Notamacropus eugenii: one gene and its partner. The protein of the gene in region 1 binds, or shares a complex with, the protein of each later gene. Links are inferred from orthologs where the notes say so. Each region holds a gene or a part of one and is shown in the gene's direction. Other genes may lie near its edges. The genes, in order: EMC10 and EMC9.

The links.
Region 2: EMC10 (region 1) and EMC9 share a complex: the UniProt entries of both Homo sapiens proteins name them as parts of the ER membrane protein complex. The link is inferred for Notamacropus eugenii from reciprocal best matches to the Homo sapiens genes EMC10 and EMC9.

The regions. Positions count from the first base shown.
Region 1 is NC_092876.1:5,128,656-5,138,008, reverse strand, and holds the start of EMC10 (ER membrane protein complex subunit 10), read left to right. Parts: upstream 1-5,480; 5' UTR 5,481-5,516; coding exon 5,517-5,600; intron 5,601-5,761; exon of another isoform or gene 5,762-5,865; coding exon of another isoform or gene 5,866-5,868; intron 5,869-5,956; coding exon 5,957-6,014; intron 6,015-6,577; coding exon 6,578-6,687; intron 6,688-7,568; coding exon 7,569-7,673; intron 7,674-7,863; exon of another isoform or gene 7,864-7,909; coding exon 7,910-8,091; intron 8,092-8,498; coding exon 8,499-8,592; intron 8,593-9,353. Other genes in the region: MYBPC2 (myosin-binding protein C, fast-type), read left to right, coding at 354-490, 691-966; GARIN5A (Golgi-associated RAB2 interactor protein 5A), read right to left, coding at 2,582-3,086, 4,380-4,510, 4,671-4,798, 5,010-5,046. UniProt on the Homo sapiens protein: Part of the endoplasmic reticulum membrane protein complex (EMC) that enables the energy-independent insertion into endoplasmic reticulum membranes of newly synthesized membrane proteins.
Region 2 is NC_092878.1:9,142,674-9,151,044, forward strand, and holds EMC9 (ER membrane protein complex subunit 9), read left to right. Parts: upstream 1-5,180; 5' UTR 5,181-5,466; coding exon 5,467-5,664; intron 5,665-5,792; coding exon 5,793-5,869; intron 5,870-6,229; coding exon 6,230-6,299; intron 6,300-6,387; coding exon 6,388-6,482; intron 6,483-6,699; coding exon 6,700-6,880; 3' UTR 6,881-6,937; downstream 6,938-8,371. Other genes in the region: PSME1 (proteasome activator complex subunit 1), read right to left, coding at 7,058-7,138, 7,371-7,457, 7,577-7,631, 7,825-7,892, 7,985-8,053, 8,353-8,371. UniProt on the Homo sapiens protein: Part of the endoplasmic reticulum membrane protein complex (EMC) that enables the energy-independent insertion into endoplasmic reticulum membranes of newly synthesized membrane proteins.

The DNA.
Region 1 (9,353 bases):
TTTTCCCTACACTAGGTTGACTGTGCTTGGGTTTAAATTTTCCATGCTTCTCACTCTGTGCAGACTGCCTGGGCCAAGTCCTTGCCTATTTCTCTGCATGTAGAAGGGGCCTGGAGAAGACAGAACCTTTACTAGTCATAGTGTGCTTCTGACATGTGGTGGGAGTGGTGTTTGGGGGCCAGAGGCCGCCTAAGCTGCTGGGGGGGCCTGCTGAGTCATCCCCTGGTCTGTGGGCAAAGCCCCCACCCCAGCTCTGGCTGTGACCACTCTCCAAGGTGCCTCCTGGCTCTGGCCTGGCATCAGCATGTGGGAAGGGCCAGGTGGGTGACTGCTTTGTTCTGCACCCTCACTAGGCATCACCTTCAAGCCTCAGGAGTTCCAGCCACATGACTTCCGCTCTGCCCCCAAGTTCTTGACCCCGCTGACTGACCGGGTTGTGGTGGCAGGATACTCAGCGGCCCTCTGCTGTGCTGTTCGGGGGTGTCCCAAGGTGGGCGCTTGGGGCTAGGGAAGCAGCAGCAGCTGGGGAGAGGAGGGTTTCCTTGGGCACAGACAAAGTCAGGAACATGAATTCAAGGCCCCAGAATTGAGTGATCTCTTCTGAGGGCCTCAGTTTCCCCATTTGTAGAGGGGGGGTTGTGTGATCGCTCACACTCCAGGGATCCATTCCCCTGTTCCCTCTCTCCACAGCCGAAGGTGATCTGGATGAAGAACAAAATGGAGATTCATGAAGACCCCAAGTTCATAATGACCAACCAGCAGGGGGTCCTGACCCTTAGCATCCGGCGTCCAAGTCCCTTTGATGGGGGAACCTACTCCTGCAGAGCGGTCAATGAGTTGGGCGAGGCACTGGCTGAATGCAAGCTGGAGGTCCGAGGTGAGGATGTGGGAGGAACTGCCTTGGGCTGGCCGGCTGGAGGTCCACATCTGGCGGATTTCCTGTTCAGCCTGCAGTCCTGTGGCTAGCAAAGCGTCCCCAGAAAGGCACTCAGGAAAGATCTGGAGCCAAGATATCTGGCTTCAAATTCTGGCTGCATCAATGACTAGCTGTGTGGTTTTTGACAGCTCCTTGAACACCTCTTTGTTTTCTCTGTAAATGGGGTGAGGGCTGGACCAGGTCAGCTCTAGGGGCCTTTCCAGCTCTGTCCTTTTTGAGAGGCAGCCAGATGACACCATGGGGCTGGAGAACCTGGGTTCAAATTCAGTCTCAGACACTTAACTGGGCAAGTCACTTAACCACTGCCCCAGTTTCCTCATCTGTAAAAGGGGGATAATAGCAGCCCCTACCTCTCAGGGGTGAGAGGGAGACAATTGTGCTTTGCACCTTGTGCTCTAGAAATGCTAGTTCTAATTGGTAATAGTCCCACATATTCTGATAGTGCTCTAAGGACCTTGAAAGGTGGGCTTCCCTTCTCACAGGTAGGAGAACTGAGGCTGGGGAGTGACTCCTTGCTGTAGGTTCTCGGCAGTTTGGATTCTAACCCAAATCTCTTGTCTATGAGCCAAATTAATGCTCTTTTGACCACTTCCTCTCTCTGGACCTGTTTCCTTAGTGGCAAAAAGGACTCAAAGGTGCCTGCTTGATCTGGGACTGGTCACCTTCAGATCAGTTCCTTTATAGATGGGGGCAGATGGTGTGAAACCAAGCCAAGAATGTCTCAGTCTAAGGGCAGTAACCATGTGGAGGAGGGGGAATGGTCACAGTAATCACTCTGATGGGGGACAGCTACTAACCAGAGACAAGTGACTGGAGCCAGGGGCCACAGGAGTCAGCTGGGACAACAGAGCCAAGATCTCAGGTTTAGAGCTGTAAGGGGCCTGCCTGTATTTAAAAATGATGAAGCAGAGACCCAGAGATGAGATGTGACACCCATGGCAGCACACCACAGAGGTTGAGACAGAGGGAAAGTCAATTTGGAAGGAAGGGAGAGCTATACCAGGGGCCTGGCAGCTCATCCCCCTCACTGGGACTCAGTTTCAGCATCTGAAAATTGGGGATAATGATGCTCACAGGGCTTTCCTCTTCTCCAGTGCCACAGTAATCCTTCCTGAGGGCAGTCGATGTCCCTCCTGCCCCACCCAGTCTTTGCTGAGACCCTGATGAACCTGCCCCTGGACCCACTCCATGGTGACACCTCTCCCTCCTACTGATTGTTCATGTCAAACATGAAACTCACTGACTCTGTGGCTCCTGTTGTCAGTGCCTCCTGCATGGATGGATGGATGGATGGATGGATGGATGGATGGATGGATGGGTGGATGGATGGATGGATGGATGGAGGAAGGGAGGGAAGGAAGGAAAGGAGGAATTTAGGACTTCCATAGCTGAAGTCTGCTATGTGAATGGGTGGCTAGGTGGGTGGATGGATGGATGGATGGATGGATGGGTAGATGGAGGGATGGATGGGTGGGTAAATGAAGCGAGGAGAGGGAAGGAGGAAGGAAGGAAGGAGAAATTCCAGACTTCCATGGCTGGTGTCTGCTTTGTGGATGGATGGATGGATGGATGAAAGGACGGATGGATGAATTAATGAATGAAGGGGAGTGTGTGCACAGCCAGTTCTGACATACGGAATCTTTATTAGACTTGGTATTCTGTGCCTCTGTCCAGGGAAGAGGTCTCTCTCTGGCCTTCTGGTGTCCCAGGGAGGAAGGAAGGGTGGTGTATGTGTGTCCTGACCTCCCCCCCCCCTGCAGGGTGGAGGTGAAGGCAAGATTGGAGGCTCTGCACCTCGGGGAGTACTGGGCCTGGAGCCCTGGGTCTGGGGTGTGGGAGGTGGCAGTAACAGCGGCAGCAGCATCTCATATCTGGGGTCTCCACAGAATTGAGGAGGGGGCGGTCCTCTGGGCCTTCACTAGGAAACACAGAGTGAAGAATGGGTGAAGCTCTGGGGGTCCAGGAGTGCTCAGGTTCCCTGTGACCCAGGCCAGCCTCACCCTCTCCGGTCTTGTCACGGCCCCCTCTCCTCTTCCTTGGGGCTGGGGGCCTGGGTGAAGGGCACCCTTGTGCTGGAGTCAAAGCGCAGTCGGTAGAGCAGCCGGACCCAGCGGCCAAACTCCTGGTCTTCAGAGGCCGGAGCCCTAAGCTGCAGGTAGAATGTGCGGCCGGACCACAGCTTCACCTTCAGCTGCTGCCGCTTCTCGTCATGGATGAACAACTCCACAAATTTCAGGGGAATCAGCCTGTCCCCAGACCCCCAGAGAGGAGATCAGCCAGGGCATTGGCGCAGGAGGGATGGCCGCAGGTGTGGGCCCTGGCCCTGCTGGGTACCTCATGTGGAGAGGTGGCCAGCAGGAGCCAGGGAAAAGCTTTGCCTTGTCTTCAGTGGGGGCGGGAGGCAGGAGGCAGGAGGCACCTTCCATGGGGAAGGTGGAGAAGACCATCACTCCCAAGCCAGAGAACCTGGCTTCAAAATCCACCTCAGACACTCGGACACTCCCTATGTGGCACTGGTGGAGTCACCCCCTCCCTGGGCCCCAGTTTCCCCATCTGTAAAGGCATGGGGTTGGCCTAGGTGAACTCTGAGGACCTCCCAGTTTTAGCTCAATCCCCTTTTCCCGGGTCCAAGCATGCTCTTGCAGGGTGGAGGGGGCTCCCTCTCCAGCACCTCCGATGTCTGCCTCCCCTCCCTCACCACAAGCAGCCTTTCCCAAGTTCCCTGGATGCTCAGTTCCAGCTTGTTCTGGTTGTACGTGGCTACTGGTCGGCCATCTCCCCCCTTGGACTCATCCCCCAGTAGAAGTTCCTCCAAGGCTTTGGCTGTTCGGTTATTTCATCCTGTCTGACTCTCCGGGACCCTACTGGGGGTTTTCTTGGCAGAGATATTGGACTGGTTTTCCATTTCCTTCTCCAGCCCATTTTACAGATGAGGAAACTGAGGCAGACAGGGTGAAATGACTTGCCCAGGGTCTCACAACTGGTGTAGGAAGTTGGATTTCAACTCAGGGAGAGTTCCCGATGCATGGCCCGAAGCTCTGCACACTACAACCCCACCTAGTAGTCAGCTTCTTTTAGAAGGGACTCTGATACCTGGAGAGCACCTACTTGGTTGCTATCAGGCACAGACACTTGGGTGGGGGATGCACACTGTACCTGAGGATCAGCCATTGGGGGAGGGGTTAGATGGATTAGCCTGCTGAGCGCTGGGCAGGGCCTCACAGGGTAGAAGACAAAGCCCTGACTACAACACTTAGCTAGGCTGGCAGCCTCCTCCGAGCCTCGACAGCTACTTGGCAAGGCATTTTACAGATGGGGACACTGAGGCTAGGTGGGGCAGGGTGGTAGCAGGAGCTGGGGGGGCATACCAAGGAAGTACCCATGAGGGTCTGGGTGAGCCCAGCAGGTAGGGGTTTTGGGTTTTTTTTTGGGGGGTCCTCACTCAAACAGTTGCAGGCCCCCCTTCCCGGGGGAAGGCCCGGCCAGCAGCAATATGTCAGGCAGCTCCAGGGCTGGGCTGGTGGCTGCCACACCCATGGTCACCTTGTTGGCTACCTCTCCGAACCGAGTAACCTGGGGGCCGAAGGCCGGAGGTCAGAGCAGGGGTGGGGTTCCTGAGAAGCTCGCGGGGGAAAGGAAGATTCCCAGGTTTGGGTCCGAGATCAGGAGGGGATGCGGAGGCTGGGGGTGGGGGGCAGCCGCAGCGGGGTAAGGGCTGCCGCCCGACGGGCACCTGGACGAAGTTGCTCTCAAACATGGGGAAGTCGCAAAGCTGGTCGAACTCCCCGCTGCACAGGTGGCGCTGGAGGCGACCGGGCCTGGGGTAGGTGGACTGCAGGGGCCTTGGGACGGCCTTCGCCCCTGAGGAGTAAGCAACAGGACCACGCCTGCTGGGTGCTGGGAGGGCGAGGGTGGGGGTGGCGCCTGCTCCAGCCTCCAGCCCGGCTTCACGCAGGTGCCCCCTCCAGCCCCGGTCCCGCCCTCACCCGGGCCCCGCGGTGGGCGGTCACCTGTTCCAGCCTCCAGCCCGGCTTCACGCAGGTGCCCCCTCCAGCCCCGGCCCCGCCCTCACCTGCCCGTCGTGGGGCGCCCTGCTCCAGCCGCCTCATGCTCGCCCCGCTCCGGTCCTCGCGAGCCTCGGGGGGTAGGGGGTTCCGGGCTGGGCCGGGGGCCCTGGGGGTGGCTGGGGTCTACCCAGCAGAGGCGGAGGAGGGCGCGCGCTCTCCTCCCACGGCACCAAGTTCGGCCCTCTGGGTCTTTCCCCGAACGCTACCAGGTTGCTACGGAGACGGGGGCGGGGCCCAGTTTCTGTGAGGTCACGGAGCAGAGTAGTCGCGCACGCGCAAAACACATGGCCGAGAAACCGAGGCTCGAGTGGGAGTCGATGCGCATGCGTACCTCCGTGCCTTGGGGAGCCGGGTGGAGGTGGGGCACGGTTTGCTTTAGGCGTATTTAGCAGCGTGACGTCACATGGAGGGAGAAGAAAGACGGAGCCCGCAAAGGCGCGCAGGCGCAGAGGCTGCATCCGCCCTCTCCCAGAGTGCGCCGCGCGTGGTCACGTGAGCGCGGCCGGGCGGCGATGGCGGCCCCCTGGCTGGTGCTGCTGTTTCTGGCTGCGCCGGGCGCGGTCCGGGGGAGCGGCTGCCGGGCCCCAGCCCGGGGGGTCAGTACTGCGGGGGGGCAGGGAAGGGGAGGGCCCCCCCCCGCGCTCTGGGTCCTACTTTATTCTCTGTGCAGTCTTGGGGGCTCCGCTCTCAGCGCAGACTGACCCCAGGTGGGCAGCCCCCTGCCCCGGGACCCCGCCCCAGCGTCAGGAGTAGGGGTCCCCCGGGGAGCACCCCCTCTGATCACCGTCCTGCTGCCCCCGCGACCCCCGATCTTCAGACATCGCCTGGGGCGCCCCGCCTTTCTCCTTCTTTCTTCTTGGGATGGTGAGGCCCCGCGGGGCAGAGGCGGGGCGTGTGTGACCGCGAGATGGGGCTGGGGTTCTGTGCGTGACCCGGGCCTCCCTTCCCGCAGGCTGCGGCTGAGGGCTGCGCGCCCACGGGGCTGCTGCTGGAGCACTCCTTTGAGACCGGTGAGGGGGCTGGGAGCGGGGCACGGGGCGGGGCTCGGTGTGGGCGGGGCGGGGGCGGGGCTCGGTGTGGGCGGGGCGGGGCGGGGCACGGGGCGGGGGCGGGGCGGGGGCCTGGGGGCGGGGCACGGGGCGGGGGGGGGGCCTGGGGGCGGGGCACGGGGCGGGGCTCGGTGTGGGCGGGGCGGGTAGGGGCTCGGGGCGGGGCACGGGGCGGGGCTCGGTGTGGGCGGGGCGGGGGCGGGGCACGGTGTGGGCGGGGCGGGTAGGTGCTCGGTGCGGGGCGGGGCACGGGGCGGGGGCGGGGCGGGGGGGCCTGGGGGCGGGGGGGGGCGGGGCTCGGTGTGGGGCGGGGCGGGGGCCTTGGGGCGGGGTGGGGCAGTCCGAGGCCTGGACATCCCCAGGGCCCCTCTGGGTTGAAGGGCAGCCCCCATCCAAACCCACATCCCCCGCCCCCCAGGGGAACCCCCGCTGACTTTCTGCTTTTGACCCTTCCTGGGATGCGCCTCAGCGAGGGGCAGCCGGGGGTGAGAGGACTGTGGTCTCTGAGCCCCCCCTTTCTGCAGATGACAGCGTCCACTTCCGGAAACGGGGCTCCCTGACATGGAACGTGCAGGACGGGACCATCGCCCTGACCCAGCGCCAGCTGACTGAGGATGAGCGGGGCCGGCTGCGGGTGAGGGGCTGGAGGCGGGGTGCAGGGCTGCGGGGTGCCAGGCTGCGGGTGAGGGGCTGGAGGCGGGGTGCCGGGCTGCGGGGTGCAGGGCTGCGGGTGAGGGGCTGGAGGCGGGGTGCAGGGCTGCGGGGTGCAGGGCTGCGGGGTGCCAGGCTGCGTGTGAGGGGCTGGAGGCGGGGTGCCGGGCTGCGGGGTGCCAGGCTGCGGGTGAGGGGCTGGAGGCGGGGTGCAGGGCTGCGGGGTGCCAGGCTGTGGGTGAGGGGCTGGAGGCGGGGTGCAGGGCTGCGGGGTGCCAGGCTGCGGGTGAGGGGCTGGAGGCGGGGTGCAGGGCTGCGGGGTGCCAGGCTGCGGGTGAGGGGCTGGAGGCGGGGTGCAGGGCTGCGGGGTGCCAGGCTGCGGGTGAGGGGCTGGAGGCGGGGTGCCGGGCTGCGGGGTGCCAGGCTGCGTGTGAGGGGCTGGGGACAGGGTGCCGGGCTGCGGGGTGCCAGGCTGCGGGTGAGGGGCTGGAGGCGGGGTGCAGGGCTGCGGGGTGCCAGGCTGCGGGGTGCCAGGCTGCGGGTGAGGGGCTGGAGGCGGGGTGCCGGGCTGCGGGGTGCAGGGCTGTGGGGTGCCAGGCTGCGTGTGAGGGGCTGGGGGCAGGGTGCCGGGCTGCGGGGTGCCAGGCTGTGGGGTGCCAGGCTGCGGGTGAGGGGCTGGAGGCGGGGTGCAGGGCTGCGGGGTGCCAGGCTGCGGGTGAGGGGCTGGAGGCGGGGTGCTGGGCTGCGGGGTGCCAGGCTGTGGGTGAGGGGCTAGGGGGTGCCGGGCTGTGGGTGGCAGACCCTGCAGAGTCCGGAGGCCCGCGTGCTAAGCCGGCCCGGGGCCTCTCTTTCCGCTCTCCCCAGGACGTGGCGGCTCTGAACGGTCTGTACCGAGTCCGGGTGCCCCGGAAGCCCGGGGCTGCCGAGGGGCTGGCAGTCACCGGCCACGTGTCCTCCTTTGTCCCTGCGGTGAGTCTGACCGGAGCCCCTGGGGGTCCTCCCCGGGCCAGGGAATTCCCGGTGTGGCTTCAGAGGCCGCACCTGGGTCCCAGCAGATTACAGGAGCACACCCCAAGTGACTGACCTTAGAGCCTGGCAGAGCTGGCCTCATTCTGCCTGTGACCCACCCCCCCAACCATGGCCCGCCTCTGCCCCTTAGGGAGCCAGAGCCTCCTTCCCTGGTCTCATCATGCTGCCCCCTGCAGTGCTCCCTGGTCGAGTCCCACCTCTCCGACCGGCTGACCCTGCATGTGGACGTGGCCGGCAACGTGGTGGGCCTGTCTGTGGTGACGGAGCCCGGGGGCTGCCGGGGCCACGAGGTGGAGGATGTGGACCTAGAGCTGTTCAACACCACGGTCCAGCTGCAGCCGCCTCTGACGGCGCCAGGGTGAGGGGCCCGGCCCAGCCCTGCCCCCCTTCCTCCTCACGGCCCCCAGGGTGAGGGGCCCAGCCCTGCACCCCCTTCCTCCTCACAGCCCCCAGGGTGAGGGGCCCAGCCCTGCACCCCCTTCCTCCTCACAGCCCCCAGGGTGAGGGGCCCAGCCCTGCCCCTCTTCTCGGGGCCCCCAGGGTGAGGGGCCCAGCCCTGCCTCCCTTCTCGGGGTCCCCAGGGTGAGGGGCCCAGCCCTGCCCCCCTTCTTCCTTGGGGGCCCCCAGGGTGAGGGGCCCGGCCCTGCCCCCCTTTCCTCCTCCGGCCCAGGTCATGTCTATCTCTTGTCTCCCCCCTCCCTCCCTGCCCTCCTCTCCTCTGGGCCCCCGACATGCTTTTCTGTTCTCACCCACTGCTCTCTCCAGCCCAGAGACAGCTGCCTTCATTGAGCGTCTAGAGATGGAACAAGCCCAGAAGGCCAAGAACCCCCAGGAGCAGAAGTCCTTCTTCGCCAAATATGTGAGTGCCTTCCCCACTCCCCTGAGCACTTAGGACAGCCCTGGGTAGGGCAGAGGGCGGGCTCTGCGCTGGGCCCTCTGGGGCCTCTCCTCGGTCTTCACCTCATCCACCATACCCCCTTCTTGTTCCTCATCTCTGGGGCTTCCCTCCCTCTGCCTGAGCCCCCTTTGGGTCTCAGTTTTTTCTGTTCCTTGGACAGAAGAGGAGGGCCTGAGCCTGGGGGTGGGGTGGGTCCATCTCCCTGGGGCATTCCCTTCCTCCTCACCCCTGCTGATGCCTCCTTTCTGGAGGACCCTCTGGGGAAGAGGGGGCCTCCCATTTCTCACTTCCTCCTCAACAATTGTGTTCTGTAGAACAATCAGAGCAGCCCTTGATGGGGCGCATATGGGGTACCTCCTCCTCCACACCCTGCCAGAGGAGGGAAGAGCCTCCTCTTGTCTGTGTGTCGGCTGCTGCTCTTGGGGATCTTACATCCTCCAGCACGATGCAGAGCAGCCACACAGTCTGTGCAGAGTCACCTCGAGGATGGTGTCCACTGTTCTGGAGGGCCAGGAAAGGGCATCCTTCATGGCAGAGGCAGCCTTCCAGCTGAGCATGAGACACTTTCCTTTGCTAAAATGCAGCAAATCTTTGGTCTAGTAACACCTTCAAAGAAGGAACTCTGGTTAGGGGCTGAGACCTGCTCTTGAGGAAGGTCCACTGCTCTCTGGGATGGCTCCTCCTTTTTCTAGTTGCTCACCAGTCACCCTTTTAATCCAGGT
Region 2 (8,371 bases), on another chromosome or scaffold:
ATGCAGTTCTGGGAAACTGCAATGGGTGCTTTCACATCCCTCCATCAGACCTCAGCATGCGGATGATAGGAGTGCATTGCTTCTACCCTGGTCCAGATCCTACACATCCCACATATTGGAGATTAGGTATCCTAGAGTCCAGGTTGGAAAGGACTGTATGTTCCCATGGCTGAGCAGAAACTCTCTATACCACATACTTGAAAAGTCATCTAAAAAATTTAAATAGTTCTCCAGGCTATACTTGAAAATCTCCAGTGAGAAGAAACCCACTGCTTTCCAAGACAGTCCTCTCCATTTTGGGACAGCTTTAAGTGTTAGGAAGTGTGTCTTGTACTTCAGTGTCTTTTCTCGTTATTAAAAAAACAATATGTTGAGATACATAGTTGGCCTGTTTATATAGGACCTATAACTTTTACTATAATTATTTTTACACCCGTAACTTTGTCAGGCTATCAGGACAAAAGCTAAAATATAACAATACCATATTAAACCACATCAGGAGCTTCTAGAACAGCCCCTACATTTCATGAGCATTCTTGAAAGAGAAATGGCCCTGGAGTCAGGAGGACCTGAGTTCAAATTCAGCCTCAGACACTAGCTGTGTGACCCTGGGCAAGTCAACCCAGATTGCCTCTCCCTTCTGCCTCCACTCCCCCCAGCTTCCAGAAAGGGCCACCTTGGTTTCACAGAAGAGCATTTTCTGGGCAAGTGACTATTTCTGAAAAATGTTCAAATATCCTTCCTGTCCAGTCTTTTCTTTATTGTTCTCCCAAGGGTATGACCCCCAGCAGGCTGTAATAATTAGAGGAAAAACATAAGTAGAAAGGATCCACTCCAACCCCATCACTTGAGAGAGGTGGAGAATGAGAACCACAGAATTTAAGTGACCTGCCTGAAGTAGCAGTAGAGATCATCTCCAAACATCTCATTTTACAGAAGAGAAAACTGAGACCCAGAGACATTCAGTGACTTGCTGAAAGGTCCTTAGGTAGCCCTGCCAGGATCCAAATTCCAAATCCAAGATCAAATAAATGCTCTAACTCCAAACCATGTTTTTTCAGTCCTCCAGGTTACCACTCTATAGTTTTGTAGCTAACAATGCCTACATGAGCGGGGTAGAAATTGTATTAGCTTTGTTGATGCCTTTTTTTAACACCACATTTACGAATGTATCCCCCTCCACCCTCCTATTCAGTAAAGAGATTTACAATCTAACAAAAATTAAGAGAAAAGAATAGTTTAATAAAACCAATGGATGTATCAGCAGGGTCTAATAGCACATGAAGCATTCTATATGCACAGTCCCCTACCTTACTAATGAGAGGATGGATTCTCTTGTCTCCTCTTAGGGGACAAGCTAATATGTATGTATTTAATTGTATTGGTATCATTGATCTTTACATCACTTTAAATTTCCCAATATCTCTTTCCTTTTCCCAGAGAGCCAACCCTTATAATACTAAGGAAAAAAAGAACATAACATGTGTGCTTTGGCCCCAATCTCTCAAGGTCAGGTGGACTATATCTTTCCTCAAGGTAACCCAAGTGGATTGAAGTAGGTTTTTCTCTACTGCCAGCTGGAACTCCAATCAACTATTTTTTCCCTATTAATCGGGTTCAGTGACTAGCAACCTCAGTCCCATTTAACCACTTAACAGTAGGTAACATTTACAAAGGAATTTACAAAGAAATAAAGATGTCGCAAGAACAAATATACATTTCCCCTAATGCCTCTCCTACGCTATCATCAGCCTCTAGGGGAATAGACTTGAAGCTTACCTCAATTACTACACAGCCTCAATCCTTCCAAGTTCATGTCCAAATGTGGCATAACTGCTAGATGAATTCTTTTGAGCTACAGTCACAAAGGTCCCTCCTGAAGATCACACCTTAGTCCCTGGGGTATAATGCTGTCCTGGTTGGGAAACTCAGCCTAGGCTTGAACTCCTGGATTCCTGCGGCTTGCTCTTTGGACCTTTGAAAATTCCCAGTTTCAGAGACTCTACTCCCCTTACCAGATGGCAGGCAGGAATCACTGGGATGACTTCAAAAGCAAATGAGGCAAAGAGGTCATAGCTGAAATGAATAGATTTTGCTGAATGCCTCTGCAGCCTAAGAGCCTTCTCTTCAACACATGGTTGATCAGAACCAGTTACAGAATGTCTACACATGCTTTGGGCAGCTAGGTGATGAAGTGAATAGACTTCTGGTCTTTGAATCAGAAGGATCTGAGTTCAAATCTGACCTCAGACTAGCTGTGTGACCCTGGGCAAGTCATGTAACCCTGTTTGCCTCAGTTTCCTCATCTGTAAAATGAGCTGGAGAGGGAAATGGCAAACCACTCCAGTATCTTTGCAAAAAACCCCTCAAACTCCAAAACCCCAAATGGGGTCTTGACTAAACACCAACGATGAAATCACACATTCCACAGTTTGTCTCTCTAAGGCATTTCTCTTATACATCACAAGTCTCCCCAAAGCAATGCACTAGTGTCTTCCACACAGAGACACCATCTGAGGCACTGCACATGTGCCACATCTCCATCACAGAAAGAAAAAAAAGTTCAGCAAAACTAACCATCTTATCAAAAATGATGATGATGATGATGATGATGACTGCCATGTGCCAAGGACTGTGCTAAGTGCTTTACAAATGTTATCTGATTTCAGCAATGTTCCATATCCTTCATGAATCCTTTCCTGCAAAGAAGTGACAGAAATATATTTTCTGAGCTTTTTGGGGCCAGGTTTGATACTTTGCCATTTCCTTATTTTTTCTTTTCTGTTTGCATTGGTGTTATTATTGTACAAATTGTATTCCTGTATTAATTTGGTAGCACTTCATATGTCTTCTTATGCCTTGCTGTATTTTTCGTATTCATTTTTCTTATGTCACTGTATATTGGTATCAAACTTTATGGACACCTATTTTGTTTTCAGTTTTTTGTTTTGTTTTTCCTATTACAAAAAGTGTTGCTATCAATATTTTGATGTACATTGGACTCTTTTTTCCCCCTATTTTTTTTTTTACCTCCTTGGAGGTAGATGAATAGTAGAGTAGTATCTTTGTGTAAAAAGATATGAACCTATCAGTTGCTTTCTTAAAATAATTCCAAATTGCTTTCTGTGAGACAGCAAAAGTTTCCACAATAAGCTATTGTTAAATTCATGAAGTCATTGAGAATAAGTTAGATAATAAGAAAGCCAGCAGACTAGAGATGGACTTAACCAATCAAAAGACAGACGGTGACCTTCAGAAAATTACAAAGTTTTTGATAAAGGAACTTGGCTAGCTGGAACTAGCCAAGAAAAATGACCTAGAGATATCTAGAAAAGACTTTTCTTTACTGTGCTTGCTTGAGGAACCTCATGCATATAAGCAGATACACTACGCATAAAATTATCCTTCCATTTTCTGATTATAGGTCCTATGTTAGAGCATGTTTGGAAGGGAGAATCCCTAAGGGGGTATTTTACAATGGGCATGTAGAGAAGAGGGTGACCTAATGGAGGATGGACCAATCCATCTCCTGGTGGGAGGATCTGTCTTGAATTAACGATATTTAGCTCATCTCACTTCTGTACTCTGTGCTCCCTCCTCCTGAAAAAGAGGGTGGGGGCCCACTTTGGCCAAAGTGTTCAATTCCTCTGAACTCTGCTGCAATAAATTTTCCTTGTTACTTTTAGTGTCTTGCGGGTTTCTAACACTTTCCCAAATGTTTGAATCACTTCACAGTTCCACCAACAGCATATTAGTGTGCCTGTCTATTCGAAATAGCTCCAAAATATTCCCATATTTTGTCATCTTGCTAATGTGTTTTTGGAGGGCCTCATTTATTTTGGTGGATGAAGGGAACTCATTTCTTGCTTTCTTTTAAAAATGTTAAGGTAACTTATGTTTACATTGCCTCGACTTCCCTCTGTAAATCTTTTCCCTCCTTCCCAGAAACCATCCCTTATAAGAAAGATTGTTTTTAAAGAGAGAGATAAAAAAGCTCAGTAAATTGATCACCAAGCTGAAAAAATCTGTTATGTTATGTTAGACCACTCCTACCCTCTGCAAAGGAGAGAAAGGAGTTAACTTTTCACATCGCTTCTTTGGGGTCAGGCATGTTCCTTACACTTTCGAAACATTTTCTGTTGTTTTGTAGTTATTGTCCTTTCCATTTACCCCATTGCAATAACTGTGCATTTCTTTCCTGGCTCTGCTTACCTCTCCTTGCGTCAGTTCTTTTAAGTCTTTCCTCGATTCTCTGTTTTTATCATCTTCGATCTTTTGCAGGGTGGAGCTGGGGGGCGGGGCAGGGATCATGTATTTTTTTTTTACAATGTAACAATGTTCCATTACATTCACTTATCACAATTTGTTTCTCCTTTCCCCTAATTAGTCAGTCAATAAGTATTAAGTGCCTGCTTTATGCCAGGCACCATGCCAAGCACCCTGCCTTCAAAGAGCCCACAATCTAATGGGGAAAGACAAGACATGAAAAGAAGCTGAAAAGGGAGATGTAGGGAAGAGGTGGGGGTAGGCCTGAAGCCAGGTCTGCCCTGGACAGATGTCTACTTTTTCCCACGGTTTTGTTTTGTTTTGCTACCACAAAAGGTGCTGCTATAACTATTTTAGTATCAGTAAAGTCCTTGGGATAGATGCCCAGCAGCGGAACGGTATAGGCATTTATTTGCGTAATTCCACAGTGCTTTCTAGAACTGGGGTTCCAAGTCACAACGCGGCTAATGTAGTTTTAAAGAGCTAGGAGATCGTGGACAAGCGAGAGGTCTGTCTCGGTGGAGTGCTGGGCGGCTCCAGGTGCCCCTCTCCAATCCTCTCCCTGACTGGTGCTGCAGGGAAGGGCCTAGGCACATGGACAGCAAGGAGCGCCCAGCCAGACCTCAGGAGGCTGAATCAACTATCCCCTCCCAGCGCACACGTTATCCTAGCGGCTCCTGCAAAGGAGCGGACCCATGAAAAGGCGAAGACAAAGTCTTCCAATCAGAACCTGGTCAAGGAACGTGCGCCCAGTGATAGGACGAATCAAAGTCGATTGGACCAACCCTGCGTCAGGAGTTGGGTGGCACCCCAAACTGGTCGGGGAGTCGGAGAAGCGGGAGGAGCTGCGGCTCGGCTGGGGCTGGACGCTCGCCGTAGCGGCCGCCCCTTAGGGGCGGGAGGGGTGTGTTCTCCGCTTCGGGAGAGGCCATTGGGGACAGCTTGGGGGGCGGGGGGGAAGGCAGCGTGACAGCTCCATCTGAGGGAGGGGGCCCGGAGCAGAATCGGCCGAGCCGGGCCCAGGCCCAATCTGGACGGCGGGAGGTGACGCTGACGGGGCCCCGGTGGCCGAGGGAGGTCCTGGCCGACTGCGTGCGTGCGGGGCGCGGGAGGAAGGGAAGGGGCAGCCAGGCAGGCGCAGGCCGGGCTGGCTCCTGGTCCCCGAGACCCCGTTTGGACCCCGGCCACAGCCCGCGGACCATGGGAGAAGTGGAGATCTCGGCCCGGGCCTACGTCAAGATGTGCCTGCACGCTGCCCGCTACCCGCACGCAGCTGTCAACGGGCTGCTGCTGGCCCCGGCGCCCCGGGCGGAGGGCTGCCTGTGCCTCAGTGACTGTGTGCCTCTCTTCCACAGCCACCTGGCCCTTTCGGTCATGCTGGAGGTCGCCCTTAACCAGGTACCCCTTGGCCCCCACCCCACTCCGCGCCTCTGGGCCTTGGCCTGGCCTCAGGCCCTGTGCCCCTTGGCATCTGTTCACTGGCAGTGCCATCTGTATAGGAACTAATGGGCCCTTTCTCGTGACAGGTGGATGTGTGGGGTGCGCAGGGCAGTTTGGTGGTAGCTGGGTACTACCACGCCAATGCCTCGCTGAATGACCAGAGGTGAGTGCGGGAGATGGCTGCTGGAAAGTGTCAGGGCATTTCTCTGTATGCGGGACCTCCTTCTCAGAAGAATGGTTTGTTGCCCCCTAATTGAAGGAAATGCTAAATTTCAGTTAGCGTTTAATGAAAATAAAAATGTATTTTTTTTCTTCCAAGTTTACAGCAGGGTGCTTGGACTCCAGGTTAAGCTCTGCTCTGAGGTAAATGTTTGCCAGGGTTAAATCCAACCAGTAATTTCCTCCTGACTGGGCTAATCTCAACTCACCTCGATAGGGGTTGAAGGACACCTGTTAGCTTTAAAGGACAGGCAAGTAGATGGCTCTGCTGCTCAGGACCCTCTAATGCCTCTTTTCCTCCTAGTCCTGGTCCCCTTGCCCTGAAAATTGCTGGACGAATTGCGGAATTTTTCCCTGGTGCAGTACTCATCATGGTAAGTCTGAGGACTGAGGGAGTTGAGGAGAAAAGGAGGGAGAAAGGGAATCCTGGAATCCTCAACAATCCTTACCTCAATTTCTCAGTTGGATAATCGGAAAATGGTGCCCCAGCCTCGAGTGCCCCCTATCATTGTCTTGGAGACTCGTGATCGACGCTGGGTCCCCAAAGACAAAAACCTGTGAGTAAAGTACCTCTATTCCTTTGCTACATACCCTTTGCTTCTAAGTCTGGACTCCTTCCCTCCAAATCCCCTTTTCCTGGAGTTCTAAGGCAGCAGAGAAATTAACTTCAATCCAGACTTCATCTCCTGGGGACATCCTAGACCTAAACTCTGTCTTTAGTCCTAGGTCTTTGTGATAAACTGAATGTTTCCTTTTTGGTGGGTTTTATTTCAGGGTAATGTGGCGGGATTGGGAAGAGTCAAGGCAGCTCCTTCGAGCACTACTTGAAGGCCGGGCCCACCAGCTTCTTGTTGACTTTGATGCCCACCTTGATGACATCCGTCGTGACTGGACCAATCAACAGCTCAATACTGAAATTTCCCAGTGGGTTGCTGCTGCCAATGGGAGTGCCTGAGTTTGTCCATAGTGGCAAGAACCTTAAATAAAAAGACTGGGGAGTGGTGTGACCAAATTTATTGGTGTTCAGAAGGCAAGGTATGGATAAGAGGGGAAGTTCTAATGGAAGCTGAACTGTGGCAAGACAGATAATCTTACTTAAGGGGTGATGGAGAAGGGAGGCAGGCTCCGTTTTTCAGTAGATCATTCCTTTTGTGTCCCCCCTGGGCTTCTTGATCTTCTCAAAGTTCTTCAGGATGATATCATATAACACAGCCTGTAGGACCCAAGTAAGAAGGGAGGGGAAGTTATTCTGAGCTCTCAGTAGAGGCTCTTTAATGGCTTCCCAATCTTACTAGAAGTTTATTTTCATTTCCTCTCTCCCACCCCTCACAGGGTATACCTCGTGAGTCATTTGTCCTGAAGCTAATGTTATTTGCCTCCATATCAACCCTCCCAACTTTGCCTCTGCTCTTCCACCAAGCAAATTCCAGGGTCTAGTTCCTTACATAAGTATTTCGGATCTCCATGACCATGAGTCTTGTCTCTCCATACTGTGCTTCATCCAGTTCATGAACCAGTTGTCGGTAGTCACCCTGTGGAGACTTCAGGGTTAGTTCTTCATACTGGCCTTATCTAATGCCCATCCTATCCTTCCTGGGGGCTTCCTTCTGAATTATGCCTCTGCCCACTCTGGACCTGCTTCCTCACTCACCACATGTGGTTGCTTTGCTGCTTTAGCCACTGCATCACCCCTTTCAGAGAAGTACCTAATGAGGAATGAGAAAAGTTATGGGGTGGGTGGGAAAGTAATGTTCCTTATGAGAGGTGAATATAGAAGACTTTAAAAAAAAGAAACCAAAATGGCAGCACCTAAAATGAGAGTGGAAAGCAAGAGCTGGAATTTGAGCCAGAAACCACTAAGACAGGGGCAAGATATACATGTGAGACTGGATCACTTACTTTGAGATCTGGGTTTGGAAGCCATCCAGCTTAGTCCTAAGTGTAGTCATCAGCTCAAATACCTTCTCCTAAGGAAAAGAAAGGTAGGAAAGAGATGAGATAAAGCATGGCTCCAAAGCAGGATCAAGGTAAGGTGTTTAGGGTGGGGCAGTATCATCACCTGGACTGCTACTCCAAAGTTGTTTCCATCCTCAATTCGGGGCACCTGTAGCTGCAGCCACATGGAAACCTGGGGAAACAAGGGCAGAGACAACTCAACTCTGTCCCCCAATCCCATTTCCTTTTCTAGATCTTCAGCTTTCTGTATCACTCCATCTCTACCATCTAAGCCTCAGGCCATATCCCCTGATATCACCTGCCACAATCCAATCTCCCTTTTTCCACTCTGATAAGGCACTGTATTCTGACTGACAGGGTACCTTACCAACTGGTAAGGCAAAGGGGAATTGTTCTGGATAAGCTGGTTCTCTAATGGACAGGCCTTCTCCAAGTCCTTCCAGAGAGCTAGGTGAGGAGTTACGGGCTTACCACATTGAGCTGTTCTTTC